Linked DNA regions of Kluyveromyces lactis. The protein of the gene in region 2 interacts with the protein of the main gene of each other region in a pairwise test. Links are inferred from orthologs where the notes say so. Each region holds a gene or a part of one and is shown on either strand. Other genes may lie near its edges. The genes, in order: PEX25, PEX19, INP2, PEX11 and PEX3.

What was found.
Region 1: the proteins of PEX19 (region 2) and PEX25 interact in a two-hybrid assay, tested with the Saccharomyces cerevisiae proteins (2 studies listed by BioGRID, with this or other methods). The link is inferred for Kluyveromyces lactis from reciprocal best matches to the Saccharomyces cerevisiae genes PEX19 and PEX25.
Region 3: the proteins of PEX19 (region 2) and INP2 interact in binary tests that used the Saccharomyces cerevisiae proteins (3 or more experiments, as listed by UniProt). The link is inferred for Kluyveromyces lactis from reciprocal best matches to the Saccharomyces cerevisiae genes PEX19 and INP2.
Region 4: the proteins of PEX19 (region 2) and PEX11 interact in a two-hybrid assay, tested with the Saccharomyces cerevisiae proteins (6 studies listed by BioGRID, with this or other methods). The link is inferred for Kluyveromyces lactis from reciprocal best matches to the Saccharomyces cerevisiae genes PEX19 and PEX11.
Region 5: the proteins of PEX19 (region 2) and PEX3 interact in a two-hybrid assay, tested with the Saccharomyces cerevisiae proteins (6 studies listed by BioGRID, with this or other methods). The link is inferred for Kluyveromyces lactis from reciprocal best matches to the Saccharomyces cerevisiae genes PEX19 and PEX3.

What each region holds. Positions count from the first base shown.
Region 1 is NC_006042.1:61,537-64,633, reverse strand, and holds PEX25 (Pex25p), read right to left. Parts: upstream 1,807-3,097; coding exon 511-1,806; downstream 1-510. Other genes in the region: TOA1 (transcription initiation factor IIA large subunit), read left to right, coding at 1-105. UniProt on the Saccharomyces cerevisiae protein: Required for regulation of peroxisome size and maintenance. Has a role in the import of peroxisomal matrix proteins. Imports RHO1 into the peroxisome. Also promotes peroxisome division and biogenesis.
Region 2 is NC_006041.1:441,691-444,509, forward strand, and holds PEX19 (Pex19p), read right to left. Parts: upstream 1,412-2,819; coding exon 509-1,411; downstream 1-508. Other genes in the region: E2 SUMO-conjugating protein UBC9, read left to right, coding at 1,756-2,229; SYO1 (Syo1p), read right to left, coding at 2,572-2,819. UniProt on the Saccharomyces cerevisiae protein: Required for proper post-translational import and stabilization of peroxisomal membrane proteins (PMPs).
Region 3 is NC_006041.1:162,225-166,215, forward strand, and holds INP2 (Inp2p), read right to left. Parts: upstream 2,525-3,991; coding exon 524-2,524; downstream 1-523. Other genes in the region: QRI1 (UDP-N-acetylglucosamine diphosphorylase), read left to right, coding at 1-409; MSS11 (Mss11p), read right to left, coding at 2,999-3,991. UniProt on the Saccharomyces cerevisiae protein: Required for peroxisome inheritance. Acts as the peroxisome-specific receptor for the myosin V motor MYO2.
Region 4 is NC_006041.1:176,994-179,577, reverse strand, and holds PEX11 (Pex11p), read left to right. Parts: upstream 1-1,359; coding exon 1,360-2,064; downstream 2,065-2,584. Other genes in the region: DNA replication protein PSF3, read right to left, coding at 1-347. UniProt on the Saccharomyces cerevisiae protein: Involved in peroxisomal proliferation. Promotes peroxisome division and biogenesis.
Region 5 is NC_006041.1:1,508,227-1,511,470, reverse strand, and holds PEX3 (Pex3p), read left to right. Parts: upstream 1-1,280; coding exon 1,281-2,732; downstream 2,733-3,244. Other genes in the region: KLLA0_E16985g (uncharacterized protein), read left to right, coding at 318-836; SCF ubiquitin ligase subunit SKP1, read left to right, coding at 3,038-3,244. UniProt on the Saccharomyces cerevisiae protein: Involved in peroxisome biosynthesis. Acts as a regulator of MSP1 by inhibiting the ability of MSP1 to unfold target proteins.

The DNA.
Region 1 (3,097 bases), on a different chromosome or scaffold from region 2:
CTGAGAGTCAAAAATAAGTGGAAGTGTAATTTAAAAGAAGGTGTAGTGACAATAGACCATAAAGACTTTGCTTTCCAGAAAGCCCAGGGAGAAAGTGAATGGTAATTATCCATTTCCATTAGTTCCGTCTCCTTGCATTATTTTTCTCTTTACTTCAGGTTCTAAAGTTAATATTTTTTTTTCCTTTCTATTCTATCCTACTTTCTATCATAGAGGTTTATGTTCATATCTCCTAATCATTATTGATGTTAATTCATTATTCTCTAACCTTCTGACACTATATAATTCATAGAATAATTTATATAATATCGCTTGCAAAGCCGTCCAAATCGGATCTTAATCAGGTACCCATGTAAAGTTATATGTCTTTGAGCACTTCTTTTAAGCAGCATTGCAAAAGTCACTAAAATATAGCCTGTCTGTAGCTTATTGATACTTTGTGTTACTTGTGAGTTATACAGGGAAATGTACTAAGAAATTTTTGGTACACATTTTCAAAGGGTATGTTACTCATTCATTTGGTTGCTCTTTCGCCTGTATCCATAGCTTGGAGAATCCAAGTACACCAGAGCATAGAGACAAAATGGCATATGTACCAGGTGGTGTTTTGATAGAGAACACATCTGTAGTATCAGCTAGGAAATCAAAGAATAGTCTAGTCAGATCAAACTTGACAATGCGTTTCTCATACTGGTAGTTCTTGAGTTTTTGTACTACTTCCAGTTCTAAATCTAGGTTGTCCTGCTTGAAACTCTCGAAGATAGTCTGTTTTATAAGTGCTGTATTCTTATTGGAATCAACAGATGGGGTGGCATTTAATTTTGAGGATAGTTCCAATGCGCGTTGACGTACCTGATACTGGATCTTCAATTCAAATTCCTGTTGTTTGATTGATTGAAGTTTCTCCCAATTTTTCTTCAACCCTAGCATAATGTCGTAATACCATGAGAGAGCTTCGTGTTTAGAAACCCAGGCATGCATCGATTTATTAGACCAAAGTTTAAGTTTGTATAATAGCATCAATTCATCCATGATTCCGTAATATAAGTCGATGAACTCTGAGAGAGATTCCTCATTCCACCAATTTTTGTACCAAACTAGACCTTTAGAATGTAAAGTTGATGACTTTTGGGACGCATAGAAAGTGCTTATGAGCTTTTGGTACCAATGGTAAAGTCTGAATGGGGTACCCCCACATCTCATGATTTGCCTATAGAAACCTAGCTGGCTACTAACCAAAGCACCCTTTTCGAGAAATAATTTCGAAGAGCTAGATAAGAAGAGTTTACCTGAAAGCCTTGGATTCCTTAGGATTGTGAGCAGATTGCCTTTTGAAAATAATTTCAGATAAGCATCCACGTCGATATCTTTATTATTGTAATACATTGACCTCTGTATGAAAATTCGTAGTATATCTATCACATATTTGAATATTTTCGCTATACGATCTTTACCCGTTAGTGTCGCGAAAACTGCTTTCAAAATATCAACCTTGTTCATAACTTTGATCAACTTAACACTGTCACTACGTTTAGAGGAATTATGCACAGTTCTGTCCGCCCTACTCGTTGCACCCATTGTGCTTTCCCCTGCTGATAGAGATAATGTACCATTCTTTTCACTGGCATTAGTACCACTACTTCCACCATCACTGGAAATAACAGTGACTTCTAAGTTATTCAACTTTGTAGGTGTATGTGAATTATTCTGTATCATCATTGAATCATTCCGTGCTGAGATTTCAAATCCCTCCGTTTCGATGCTTACATCCGCTATATTAGGCGGTCTATAAAAATCGTCATTCATATCGACTTATTCTGAATTGTGTAAACGAGCCAATGATTTTCTTATGAGCTATCACCGTCCTTAAGTAGTCGATTCTTCAGGATCAAGATGATTATAGAAATTACAACAGAATGACTGAAGACAGTAATATCCTTTTCTTTCACCACTGAACTAGGAAAAGGAACCAAATTTGCTGACTCTATTTATTGCCGGGATATTTTTCGACTGATTAATGCAGCATTGGCATATGTAAAGGATACTCTTAATATAGTGCAATAATCTATGACTCGTCAGTTATCTGCATCAGCTTTGATTTGTTTTGTTTAAGATTTTCTGTGTTTTACATTTTTCCTTGGGTTTATTTTTTTAATTTTTGGAGACTATGCAGTTTAAACACCAAAGGAAGTCATCAACGGATTGAACTGAGCTGTGGGAACAAAAAAAATGAAGGCTCGAAGCCTTTAAGGGTTTACTGGATAATCCAAATGCTCGGAATTAGTGTCAAAAAGCCGATATTTTGAACTTTGAATACTCCTACCAGTACGCGGCAAAAAGATTGATCACCGATACATACTCAGCGCTCTATTGTGGATGACATTACCAACATTGGATAGATAGGCATCGTGCACGTGACTTGAAATACCTCTTCAAAATGATCGCTCACAATAACTATGAAAAAATGACGTTCATTAGTTTTTCTCCGTTACCCGATCTTCGCTAGTTTTATCACTTAACGAAATGCTGCATACAAACTATTATATCATAGATCATCAAGTCAAGCTTAGCAGCGCGATAATTACCGATCCCAAAGAGAGCGAAATCAAGACTGACATGTATTCTTATCTCGAGATGAGAACAATTCCTTTTTCTGATACTCATCCTCTTTTCACGTCCTGCCGTCCAATCGCCGTCAAAGTAGCAATTTTCGAGGCATGTTCTTTCTTCTATCTCTACATGTGATGGAATGTCACACATAAACGTTTATCTAGCCTGAAACCCTTAGCAATTGTCCCCTCCAACATATTGTTTGGCGATTCATTATATAGGATATGGTTGTTTTTTTTTGTTTTTTAACTATGTATTATTATCAGGAAAATCGGTAAAATACGTCAAAGGAAAGTTTATTGTCGTTAAGTGCAGGAACAAGAGAACGGTAAAGAGATGAAGAGGAGAAGCATCGGTATACACAAGCACTTAACGGATTATTATGAATTAACAGGGGCGAATTTTTTCTCGAACATGTTTCGCTGAATGGGATCGTTATAGTTTTTCGTCAAGTATATAAAGAACCGAGTTTCCCTTCGAGAGAAGT
Region 2 (2,819 bases):
ATCCTCTTTCACTATGAAACAAACTTCGTCCAAAATTTTAACATGGTTTAAGAAGGTAGATCAACTCTTTCATATTCAATTTTCTTTTATTTTGGTTTTTCCATGCTCGAACATAGGACTGTGACAAAAATAGAATACGAACATTCCTCAATTTATTTTGTAAATATGCGAACATATGCATGTAAGAACAAACATGCTGTGTTAAAGAATGGCTAAAAGAAAGGGTGCTCTTTGAGAGGGAAGTGTCTAATGGGAGATACTCAGAAGAGTGCACTGTCCCGTATACCTTATGGCAAAAAGTTGTCACATATATTCAATCTTGCATAGTATATTGGTTATTATTGGTTTAGAGCTAGTCTCGTGATTTCAGTCCTCAATATGAATTTCAAAGTCGAAAAGAGAAAAATAGCCATATTATTCGAATATCATACTAATAGGCAAAGAGTGAAAGAAATAGAATAATAGTTTATTATGATTAAATATTATATTATGAGCTCATATACACATTTTATTGCTGTTTGCAGGTATCTTCAAGGTCTTTGTCGATGTTACCTAGATTTTCATCTCCTTGTATTTCCAGCATCTTGGCTAATTCTGACATATCGTTTCCAGGATCGTTACTAGTTCCCTTTGCAACCGGTGAGTCACCGAGTTGCTCTAGTTCATCCAATAGATCTGCGATCTCAGCATGGTACTTTTCATTCGTATAATCATCGCTTTCGAATACACCGATGATCTGATTCACAAGTGCATACTGTTTCTTGTAGTTATCAATCTTGTCGCTGTGTTCGGGGTCTTCTTCGTGTAATCCCATCCACTCGGTGAATTCTCCCTGCATTTGTTTCATCGGCTGATATAGCACTTCTTTAGAAGACATTTGTGAAAGCATTTTCAAAATGGCATTGTCCATTCCTTCTCCGTCCGTACCGTTGCCATCGCCGTTTTCCACTAGTTGATCTAGCAATTGGGAAAGAATATCGTCTGAGTTCTGATTTTTCTTCTCTTCCTCCAAACTTTCATCCACTTTCGTAGAATTTTCTTTCAATCTATCTAGGGTGTTGGAAATGATATTCTTGAAACCAGTACCGCTCTTCAATTGCTCCTGAACGTGTTTTACACTGTTATGGTCTTTCTCCTTCGATGCATCTCCAAGTACAGTTAGCAATGTCTCGAAATTCTGAACCATTTCTTGGTCAGTATCACCGCCTTCCTGCTGCATCAATTGTTGGAACTGTTTCTGCAAATCTTCCATCATCTCGACTACTTCTGGATCATCGCTCTGCGTAGCAGGCTCACCCTTAGTAACTGCCTCATTTGGAACAGTTTCTTGTTTTTCCTGTTCATCCAGTTTGCGTGGATCCTCTAAATAGTCATCCAAATCATCAAATTCGTCAACTTTGTTGTCTGACATCGTTTGTCGAAGTATCTGATTACTATCCGTTGAAATTTTGGTGGTGCGTAGCCCTTACTATTAATTATACCTCAGTTAAGGTTTCTTTAGTCACTGTCAATTCTGAAAAATATCACTTTTTCTTCAAAACACTATTGATGCTTTTTCTACAATATCAAAATCATCTTCAAAATCACAAACAAAAAGACGTATCGCACGGAATATCATATCCTCCAATTATTCAACAACGGTAAATCTGAGTTAAGGCTCTATTTACAACAGGGCGCAACGTACCTTAATATATTTACGGTATCTGTATATTAAAGCGACTCGACGATCAGAACGGCCGAATAATATAAACAGTCATGAGTAGTCTTTGTCTACAGAGGTTACAAGAGGAGAGAAAGAAGTGGAGAAAAGATCATCCTTATGGGTTCTTTGCCAAACCAACTAAAAAGACAGATGGATCTATGAACTTGCAGAAATGGGAGGCTGGTATCCCTGGAAGAGACGGCACTCTCTGGAAAAATGGTCTTTATCCTTTGACCATTGAATATCCTGATGACTATCCGTCAAAACCTCCTAAAGTGAAATTTCCAGCAGGATTTTATCACCCTAATGTTTATCCCAGTGGAACCATTTGCTTATCAATCTTGAACGAAGATCAGGACTGGAGACCTGCTATCACCTTGAAACAACTCTTACTTGGTGTACAGGATCTTTTGGATTCTCCGAACCCTAACTCACCTGCGCAAGAGCCAGCTTGGAGAGCTTTCTCGAAAAACATTAAGGAATATGAGAGGAAAGTCTCAGAACAAGCTCTTAGGTATACCAAGTGATACCTCCATAATACAACTTCGGAAGTAAACCATTTACTGACAGAGAAAATGCAAATACGCAGATGACGGCAGATATCAACTTGCGGGAAACCCTGGGCCTTCCCCAGCGTAAAGCGCAAATCAAATAAATTTGCTGTATTCTATGGCTCGATTTATTCTACGGTGTTGACCATTGTTATATGGCTGTATAGAGATATATCATAGGATGGAACGATCCAGTAGGTGTATAGTTCTCGTGTAAAATTTAAAATTAATATCAAGAATAATGCTAATGAATACTTGATTTATTCAATTATTTTGTATTTTACTATTATCAGGTGTAGACTGTATATATTTATTGTTTTATTTGTTACGTTCATTTTGTTTGTATGCAATAAAACTATCCAATGTAGAAAAGCAATCCTGACATCTTTCTTTCAGTTGAGGATCTTTGTTCTTGTCAACAAACTTGAAAACATTCTTCAAATTTAATGAAACCTGTGTTTGAAGTATCGAAAGATAGTTCAAGTTTACAAATACTGGTTCATCGTAATCAAAGTTCATGTCTGAGTATATTTCAAAGAATGTGTTCATAAAATCTACTACTACTG
Region 3 (3,991 bases), about 280 kb from region 2:
GGACAATTGGGTAGAATCTATGCCATATCATATAGCCAAAAAGAAAATTTCGTACTACGATAATGTCAATGACAAATATGTGAAACCATCAGAACCTAACGGTATAAAGTTAGAACAGTTTATTTTTGACGTTTTCCCCTCCATTCCTATGTCTAGGTTTGGTTGTTTGGAAGTCGAAAGAGCAGAAGAATTCTCTCCACTAAAAAACGCTCCTGGAACTGCAAATGATAATCCTGAAACTGCTAGGGATGCTTACCTTCATTTAACTACATCTTGGTTGAAAGATGTAGGAGCACTAGTCAATGATGAAATTCTTGTCGAAGTTTCAAGTCTATTGTCTTACGGCGGGGAAAACCTTGACTCTTATAAAGGCACTGTGTTCGATAAGCAAGGCGAAATTTTGAACTAACCAGGCAGTGTTTATAATATATTCGAAACGATAATGCTGGTGGTTTAAGTTTATTATATATACTAAAATAATACATACTTTTATCATTCAAGTGATATCAATATTGGATGTAGGTCAATCACTTCTTCTGTTTAAAAATTGTTTTAGTTCGAAAAGTACTGGTATACTCTCTTCGGAATTGAAAAGACCTTTGCAATCTATCTGGGGCCTGCCCTTCTTCTGATTTTCTATTTTCCGATTCATCAGCTCAAAACTTTTCTGTTTTCTCAAGTTTTCTCTACTTTTCTTATTTTCAATTGACAGATTCAGTATTCGTTGGTTTAATTCGTGCCTTAACTGGTCGTCTGTAAAACGAGAAAACTTAGAGTCGTTGCTAGAAGCTGTTTCTTGATCATTTTCAGTACCGTACACCAATTCCTCATGTTCTTTTTCAATGTCTGACCCAGTTTCATCTACTTCTAACACGTCTACTAGCGAAGTGAGTTTCGGAAATGAATCAACTACCACGGGGATATCACTGGTCGTCTTTACGATATCAAGATTGAGTCCACCGCTGAAAACTCTCTGACTGGAAGGCCGAGGAGAACATTTCGGTGGTTTCAACTGTTCATGCGAGTTATGTTTATAGTCGATATTCCATATTTGTATTATTCCATTCAACTCATCTATCAGGTGAGAAGAGAGTTCGGTAGATGTTTTGTCCTGTTTCATCAAGTATCGCTGCAATTCAGACAAGCGATAGATACTTTGGGTTATTACAGCTTCCTTTGATTCGGGATCCTCTTTTTCAATAGTACTTCCGTACACGGATAAAAGTAAATGTTTGTAATGATGCAAAACGGGCAACAATGATGAGATACCTTGTGTTAATGTGTATAATTGTTTCGAGATTATTTGAAATCGCTCTATGTCGGAAGTCTTTTCCACATGGTATCCAGGAAAAATTCTCTTCAAGACTAATGCAATCTCACACTTTTTCAGTGGATCAGTGTAGTTTATTGAAAGTAAGCAGCACAGAAAGAACTTTCTCATATATTGCAATCTCTCCAACTTTTGTGTAATGTCCAGACTTTCCACTGTTCGGATCATTTGATATAGGCTTTGCAAATCCACATTGTAAATACTGATATAATCAGTTAACTGAACTGCATTCACAACCGGCAAAATGTTACTAGATGCAATGTTCAATTTGTGAAATAACTGGTCTACTGTACATGTAAGGACATCTGTTAGTAATGTCAGTGTTCTGGCTTCATCTGAACGTAGACCACGATTTTCAGTCAATGCGATTGGTTTGTAAATAGTCAGCTCTTTATAAGTCAGGTGATAACGATAGATTAATTTGTCTACAGATTGCAATGCAGCATTCATCTGTCGTAGATTTAAAAGGGCAGTGTATTTGGAATATTTTGCATGGAAGTACTCTTGCTGTAAAGCTAGATAAACAGCAATCATCAATAAGGACATCAGAGAGGATCTAGGTAGATGTCTCTTATAAAGCATTTTACGGAAAGCTTTTCTTGCCGTCAATATGGTGAACATGTATGGAATTGTTCTCTGTAAATAGAATTTTTTTCCAGAAATTAACAATTGTCCATATTTTGTAGGTATAGTCTTTCCTTCAGCGTTGTGAATCGATAGGGTGTTTTCCTTATTGAAGTTCAGGATTGATTTCTGAACAGTAAATAACTGGTGATGAGAAGCGATCGAGCTTGTTAACAGTTGCGAGGAAATGATTTCATAGTGAAATTCATCAACAAAGGCATCCAGGTCACCATAAGGTAGCTGCTTCATGATCAAATCTACTTGTTTACTCCATCGGCTATCTTCTTCATGTGAGTTCAGAAAATCAGTTCTGTAATCGTTATCAATCAGAATCTCCTGTGATTCAAAGCGATCTTGGCCTACAACAGTCGGCGAAGTGTCCTTCAAAGCCTCAATACCCCACTCACTAAGCTTGCGCAACTGCTGGTAACTGATCGGAACTTGTGGGCGTGAACTGCTCCAAGTCTGTGACGAAGACATCGTTGATGGAGTCGATGCTGCAGATGCCATTTTGGGAATTTCAATCCTAGGGATTTGCAGATGCAAAGGCACCGCTTGGAAAATGTCCATTGTTTTCACTCAAAATGAGAGGATATTCAACCTGTTGGATTGATGGATGAGCCGCTTGACAAGCCTCGAAGTTTTGTGCTACATTGTCCAATGTATTGAGAGTGAGATGTCATTTATATGTAGATCAAGTTACGCTTTTTTTTTATTTTTTTTGTTTGTTTACGTTTACAAAGAAAGTAGTATCCGACAAAATTGATCGTGGAACAAATTGGCAGGAAGACATTATCAAGAGTCGAGATTAAGGCAACAGAACGAAAGAGAGTGTCAATGAAGTCATCAATGAAAACGAATCAGATAGTTTAATGTTACATATTAATTACGGGAAAGGTATATACTCTAGGTACTAAAGAAAGGGAAAAAATTTAGGTCGTCGCCATGCGGTAAATTACATTGGTCAAAAACCAGATGTCATTTGATTTCGATTTTGACTAGTATTACGGATATGAGAGGGAGCTAACATGTAAAACATACATATTACTGCTTCCGCCCTCCCATGAATTCATTACCCAAGCCTGACATATCAAACTGACCAAAATTCAATTTGTTATTTGAACCACCAGAGAATGTATTGAAATCTTGATTGTTAGTAACATCTATTTTTGAGAGAGGTTCTGATTTTTTATTATTGTCTAAAGGCTGAGAAGATGCTTGTGGACCCATAGTGGCTGGCATAGCATATGAATCAAAACTTTGAGGCTGTTGTGTTTGGAGTGACATGGCAAAATGATCTTTGTTCATTGGTTGGTCTTGCTGTTGTGATTTTACCATGTTCTCATAAGCTCTCTGTTGTTGTAGATATTGCTGGGACGGACTTGAATTATCTGATGGATCCCCTTGTCCTGGAAGTATGTTTTGGTTACCCAACTGATGATGCTGTTGATTTTGTTGATTTTGTTGGTGTTGCATTAAAGTCATCATTTTTTGATATTGCATTCGAATTTGCTGTTGCTGTTGCTGGTGCTGTTGCTGTTGCTGGTGCTGTTGCTGTTGCTGGTGCTGTTGCTGTTGCTGATGCTGTTGCTGTTGCTGTTGCTGTTGCTGTTGCTGTTGCTGTTGCTGTTGCTGTTGCTGTTGCTGTTGCTGTTGCTTCTGCTGTAGTTTGGTCCAGTTAGCTTGAACTTGTTGTGATCCGGACGGGCTTGGTTTCTTCACCTTTGACGAGGAATTAACACCTTTGAACTGCTTTGATTCCCCATTAGCTCGTGGTTTAGTATTGGCGCCAGAATCTTTATTAGTTGCTGAACTCTTCTTGGTTTGTTTATTTTTGCTTCCGACCGAAGTATTCTGAGGTTTTGGAGTAGATTTAGAACTTCCCAAGGTCGCTGCATGATAGGGATTCACACCAAGTCCAGCGTTTGTACCAGCATTCGGAGTGGTTCCTAGAACGGGTTGAAATGAGCCCTGTGGCTGTGGTACTCTCACTCCTGCTGGGAAGGAATTCGCGTTGGTTGCATAAGGAGTGTTTCC
Region 4 (2,584 bases), about 260 kb from region 2:
AGTGTGGCCCACTTCTCAGCCAGGGTGTAGAAATGAGGGCTAATTGAGTGAAGATCGAGACTAGTAGCACCAGATTTAATAGCGTTTAGTACTCTTGGAGCGAATAAATCAGGCGGGAGCAATTCGACAAAAGGAAGAGGTTCTTCAACTCTAGAATCTTCATTAGATTGCGCACCCACTACAGCAAGAAGATGGACCATCCAAAGTGGTAACTCTAGTTTTGCATTTTTCGATATTGGTCTGCCTGGGTTTCCCTCCAGATAACCCAACCCAGGAACGTCATAGTTGAATCTACAGGGAAATCTAGTACCATCAGCCAGTATATCATCTATATCATAGTATCCCATCTCGGCATAAATCTAAGGCGATTCTCAGGAAGCTGAACCGGCAAAATATAGGCTGGTATTTGGAATTGTAATCTTACTTTTGGCGTTTCTTCAATATGAGATATACAAATGCTTTAAATGATTTTAGGTTTGGGCTTGATGGCTCTAAATGTAAACAATAGAAAAGAACGCAGTATTATAAAGCAGAAGACATCGCTCGCTAGTTAACGATTCTTTTTTACGTGTTTCGCGATGTTGAGAGGAAATGCATCTCGATGATATAAATCACGTGATTGATGCTTGCACACTACAAAATCGTCATTATATCACTGTACACGATTCGCATACATGGCTTTCTCGTTGTCCCTTTTTTTTTTCTCGAGTTTCGGAACAAATCGGGCCATCCTTTTCAAGCTGTTAGCGGAAGGACATTTGGTCCGAAATACACGTAAAAATGTGCGCCTACATACTAAATATTATGTCGCCCTTTTTCCCGGGATCCCAGTCTTCACCTAGTAAGATTGCTATTGTTGCATGTCTTCCCCCGGTACAAATGTCCTTAATACAGCAGGATCTTCCGTGCTAGTAACTTCGCAGCTCTGACTTGTCCCTCCCATTTTTTGTGGGGGACCCGAAAGAAGTTGATAATAAAGTACGTTTCGCTGCTAAGTGGAAATCCTCTCCTTTTACCGTAGAGCCTGACTATTTTCTGTTGACCCTGCTTTGATCTATGCCCATTGACATATGAAGTATAACATCACACTTTATATATATATATATATATTTATATATAAAGTAGAAAATGACTGCTGAAAATAAAGACAAGCAGTTTTAAGCATTTTCACTACTCCTTGTATTCCTATCTCATCAGACTCTGTTGAAATACGTTGCACCTGCGATACAATCTCTCTCTAGTGCTTTGTTTGAATATACTGTTTCCAATATTCTACCTCCTTCAGAAATCAATTGAAATACTGAGCCAGTTATCCTGAGTCATCTTCCACATCTAAACTTATAAGTTTTACAAACAAAAATGGTTTTAGACACAGTTATTTATCATCCTACGTTGACCAAATTCATTTCTTTGTTGAATAAAACAGCCGGCAGAGAAAAGATCTTGAGATTGCTACAGTACTTGGTTAGATTCCTTGCCGTTCAATACAGATCTGGTTTGAATAGACAGTTACAATCTGAATTCACGTCTGTCAGAAAGATTTTGAGATTCTTCAAGCCATTGAATCATATCCAGGACGCAGCCAAATTATACGATAACAAGATTGCTCCAGATCAATGGGTTAGATGGTTGTCCATAATCAAAAATGTGGGTTATGTTGGGTATTTAACTTTGGATCAAATTAACTTGTTGCGCATCCTAAAGTTAATCCCAGCTACTCCTATTACTGCCAAGAAAGTTCCTCGTTACACAAACTGGTTTTGGTTCGTTGCGTTGATCGCTGGTTTGATCACCGATGTCCGTAAGTTGTACACTTCTCAAAGAAAGATCGAAGCCTCTTTGAGTTCTAAGGGCAATGCACCAACCGAAAAGGCTAGTTCTGAAAAGTTGACCGCTTACTACAATGAGAGATTCGCCGCATTCAGAAGACTAATCTGGGATTCTATCGATACTTTCATTGTCTTAAATAACTTGCAATTCTTGCGTAATGACGAATCAAGTGTCGCCCTGGCTGGTGTCGCTACATCCGTCTTTGGTCTACAAGATGTCTGGAAGACTGCTTAAAGGACTTCTCCTTCCCTTTAATTTAGTTTATATATATATATATATTTATATGTATCTTCTTTCAACTTAACATATTACTCGATATGTTGATAATTGTAATTTCAGCTGGTACCGGGATAATTTCTGATGATGCCTCCGTATTAACTAGATGTCTGTGCAGCTATTAGGATATACTATCACCATTGTTTCATCATTTTAATACCAATGTTACCCGCACTTGTTGATGTTTACACTTTTCGACAGGCTTCAAAGTTGAAATTGTTGAAAACTACTTGAAATTCCATTTCATCGAGGACATTAAGCGAGCACCATATTCGCGGCTACTCTTGCACTTCTATTCGTAATTCATTGCTTCTGCGGGATAACATCACCACTATTTTTATAGGTGGATATTCCTCAATTTAGACTAATCGCTTTGGGATTATTTCATTCTGTTCTTTTCATTGAAAAGCCGGTTGTTAATCTGATCTGGTATTCGAAATACAGCAGATTGTTAAAAAGACAAAAGAATTGAAAAAAA
Region 5 (3,244 bases), about 1.1 Mb from region 2:
AATAACATAATACTGCGAATTTTTCGCAATGGAACAAAACGCATAATAATCTGCGTGCGTTTCGCACGTAGAAGTACTTCAGTAATATTTCTATTTCTTTATCCAGCGAAAATTCCATATTTGCCTGCCAAAAAAAAAAAAAAAAACGCAAGACATTACACACATTCATACCACATATATGGAGAACCTGTACTCAATACAGGGCGAGTAGTCCTATTTGGACTGTTGAAGTAACATCCACCCTCCGCCAGTATACTTAATTTCAACACTGGCCTAGCTCAAGAAGTACTTTAGTTTGTTTCTCGTCAGCATAGATAATGGTCGCTGATGACTTATCGAATATAGAGACACAGCTACGACAGGTTCGTGAGAAATATCGTGAGCAAGCACACTCGCTCTCGCCAAGCGATGCAGAATCATGGTCAACCTTGGCATCAAATTTGCAGAAAGTCGTCACAGAAATGGATCAGCTTTTGCAGCGGAACTCTAAACAGATGAACGTATCCTTCCTATTGAACCACGAGTCATCATCGCTTCAGGCTGGAATACAGCCACCGCAACCGCTTCTACAGAACCTATACCAAAAGAACGGGAACGACGAACAGCAGAACCATCTCAAAGTCAAACTCGATAGAACTGCGTTCTATTCGGAAAATTCCCCCTTCCAACATCAAATGGATCGGTCTGGTTCATTCAGACTCTGTCCACCTTTAGCACATACAAGTGCAGAAGATTACTTCCGCAACGATACGCAAACCCCAATTATGATCTCAGATGGCCAGATCCTGGAGAACTTGGCCAATCTTAAACGTCTCACTGAGATGCAACGCCAATAGGTGGATGTAATCTTCGTTTTCGTTTGAGATTCGACACATCACATATATGATCCATCTTTTATTTGAGTCATGCGAACGTTTTTGACCAATTATACACATATACACATATAATATGTATAGTAAAAGATAAAGCTGTAATGATACACTATAAAATATCTGTTGGCACCAGTTGCAGAACCATAGAGGTTCAATACCCAACGCAATTCTATCTCTTTGGTATATGTTTTCTCTTAAATCTGTCGAATTTGTCGCTCTTTGAGGGGGAAACAAAATTCGAAAAACATTAAAATAACTAACTAGCAAGTAAACATCAACATCAATAAAGTATCAAGACAAACAACGACACTAGGAAAGCTCTACACGCAATCTGACAACGGCTGTAGTGGAAAATCAATAGAAGAATTACATTGCTCTAAGTTATAAGTTATTTTTTTACCCCTCATCATGACTGGGAATCGATCTCTGGTTCAGAGACACAGAAAGAAGTTCGTTGTTTCTAGTGTTTTGTTTGCTACGCTATTTGCTACATGCGCTATTACGGTCTATTTCAGTAAAAGATGGTTGTACAAGCAGCATTTGAAAATGACGGAGCAACGATTTGTCAAGGAACAGATCAAACGGAGGTTTGTACAAACTCAGCAGGACTCGTTGTACACTCTTTATGAATTGATGCCGGTAATGACGTTAGTGTTGGCTAAGGATTTCGATCTTGATTCTATTGTAGAGGCTCTAAAGGGGAAAAAGTTACAGAAGAAGCTTTCCAAAGGTGAAATAGCTGGGAATGAGTTGGAAAATGAGGGCTTAAGTTCAGGAATGAGTGCGATGACGCCTGCACCCAGTGTGTCAGCGAAATCTCCGCAATCTGCAGATACCACTAGCGTTTCTGAAACGTCTACGAAATCCAAGGCCGAGCTTTGGGACGATTTGAAACTCAAAGCTATCACCAAGATCATTATCTTGTCCTATACCACATCATTATTGATGCTTTTAACCCGATTGCAATTGAATATATTGGCAAGAAGAGAGTATTTGGATACTGCCATCAATTCTGCCATGGAAAAGGAAAGGGAAAAGAAGGCTAATCAATACTCAGTCTTATCTTGGTTCTCTAGTTGGATCACTGAAAAGAGCAACAATTTACCCAGTGAAAAAGCTGACCCAAGAAACAGCGATGGTACTATTGACACGGACACAAGGAGCATTGCATCCACTGCGAACCCTGAAAAATCGAGATACGTTAACGAACAAGCTTTCTTATCCTTATCGTGGTGGTTATTAAACCGTGGATACCTACAATACAAGAGTATCATTGAACAATTGGTGAAAGAAGAGTTCCAAAATTCGAACCCAAGAGATATCATGACAATGGATGAGTTCAGTGGCAAGATAAGCAAGATATTCGTCACCACAAACAAGCAATTCTTTCAACAGCCACAATCGAATGAAATGTTCATTTCATGTCTACTTCCTGAACCTAACTTAGAGAGATTTGTTCTTCAACAAACTTTAGAACAAGATGCTTTGAAAGTACTATACGAGGATAATCTATTACTAAAACAACTTGTACAAGAGACCAACAAATGCCTACAATCACCTGGAACATGGATTGTCCTGGAGTCTTTAATCGATGAAACATTCCACACAATCATGGAACAAATCGAGGATAATGTCAACAGCAAATCGAAACCTAAATCGAATGATGACGACACCAAAGTAGTCGATATATCCAAAAATTCATATCAAATCGCATTATTCTCTATCGCCACGAAAGACTGCACAAACGAAATGTTGAAAGCGGGACTCGTATCAATGAACAACAAGTTCCTACAGAAACTACACTCCATCTCGGCACTTGACGATCTCAGTGCATGCGTATATAGTAACTTCGGTCTATGAAAACCTTACTTGGCCCTCCATTCAAGTACTGAAATCGCTCCATACCGTGTATGTAGATAGTTCTATAGTTAACGTTACTCTTTCACTGGCACTACGGGGTTTCTCTTCCTGTTTCTTTAATGGCCACGTGATCATAATTTTCTTTTCCTTAAGGTCAAATAACGAAAAGAATCGAATTCCCAACAGGTTGTCAATCAACATGTTATACATCTCAGTTAATGTTTGCAAGTGGATAGGAGCTTGGTGTTTGTAGTTAGTTAGCACCATAGAGTTACCAAGTGGGTTCTATTTAGTACCAGAAAATCATGTCCAAGGAAAACCAGAACGTTGTTTTAGTGAGTGTTGAGGGAGAGAGATTTGTCGTTGACAGGAAGATCGCTGAACGCTCACTTTTACTAAAGAACTACTTGCAAGATCTTAACAGTGGCGATTTGCATGATGATAACGATGCTGACGATGACGAAGATGATGAAGAGGATGGTGACGATGAAATAGTGATGCCCGTGCCCAAT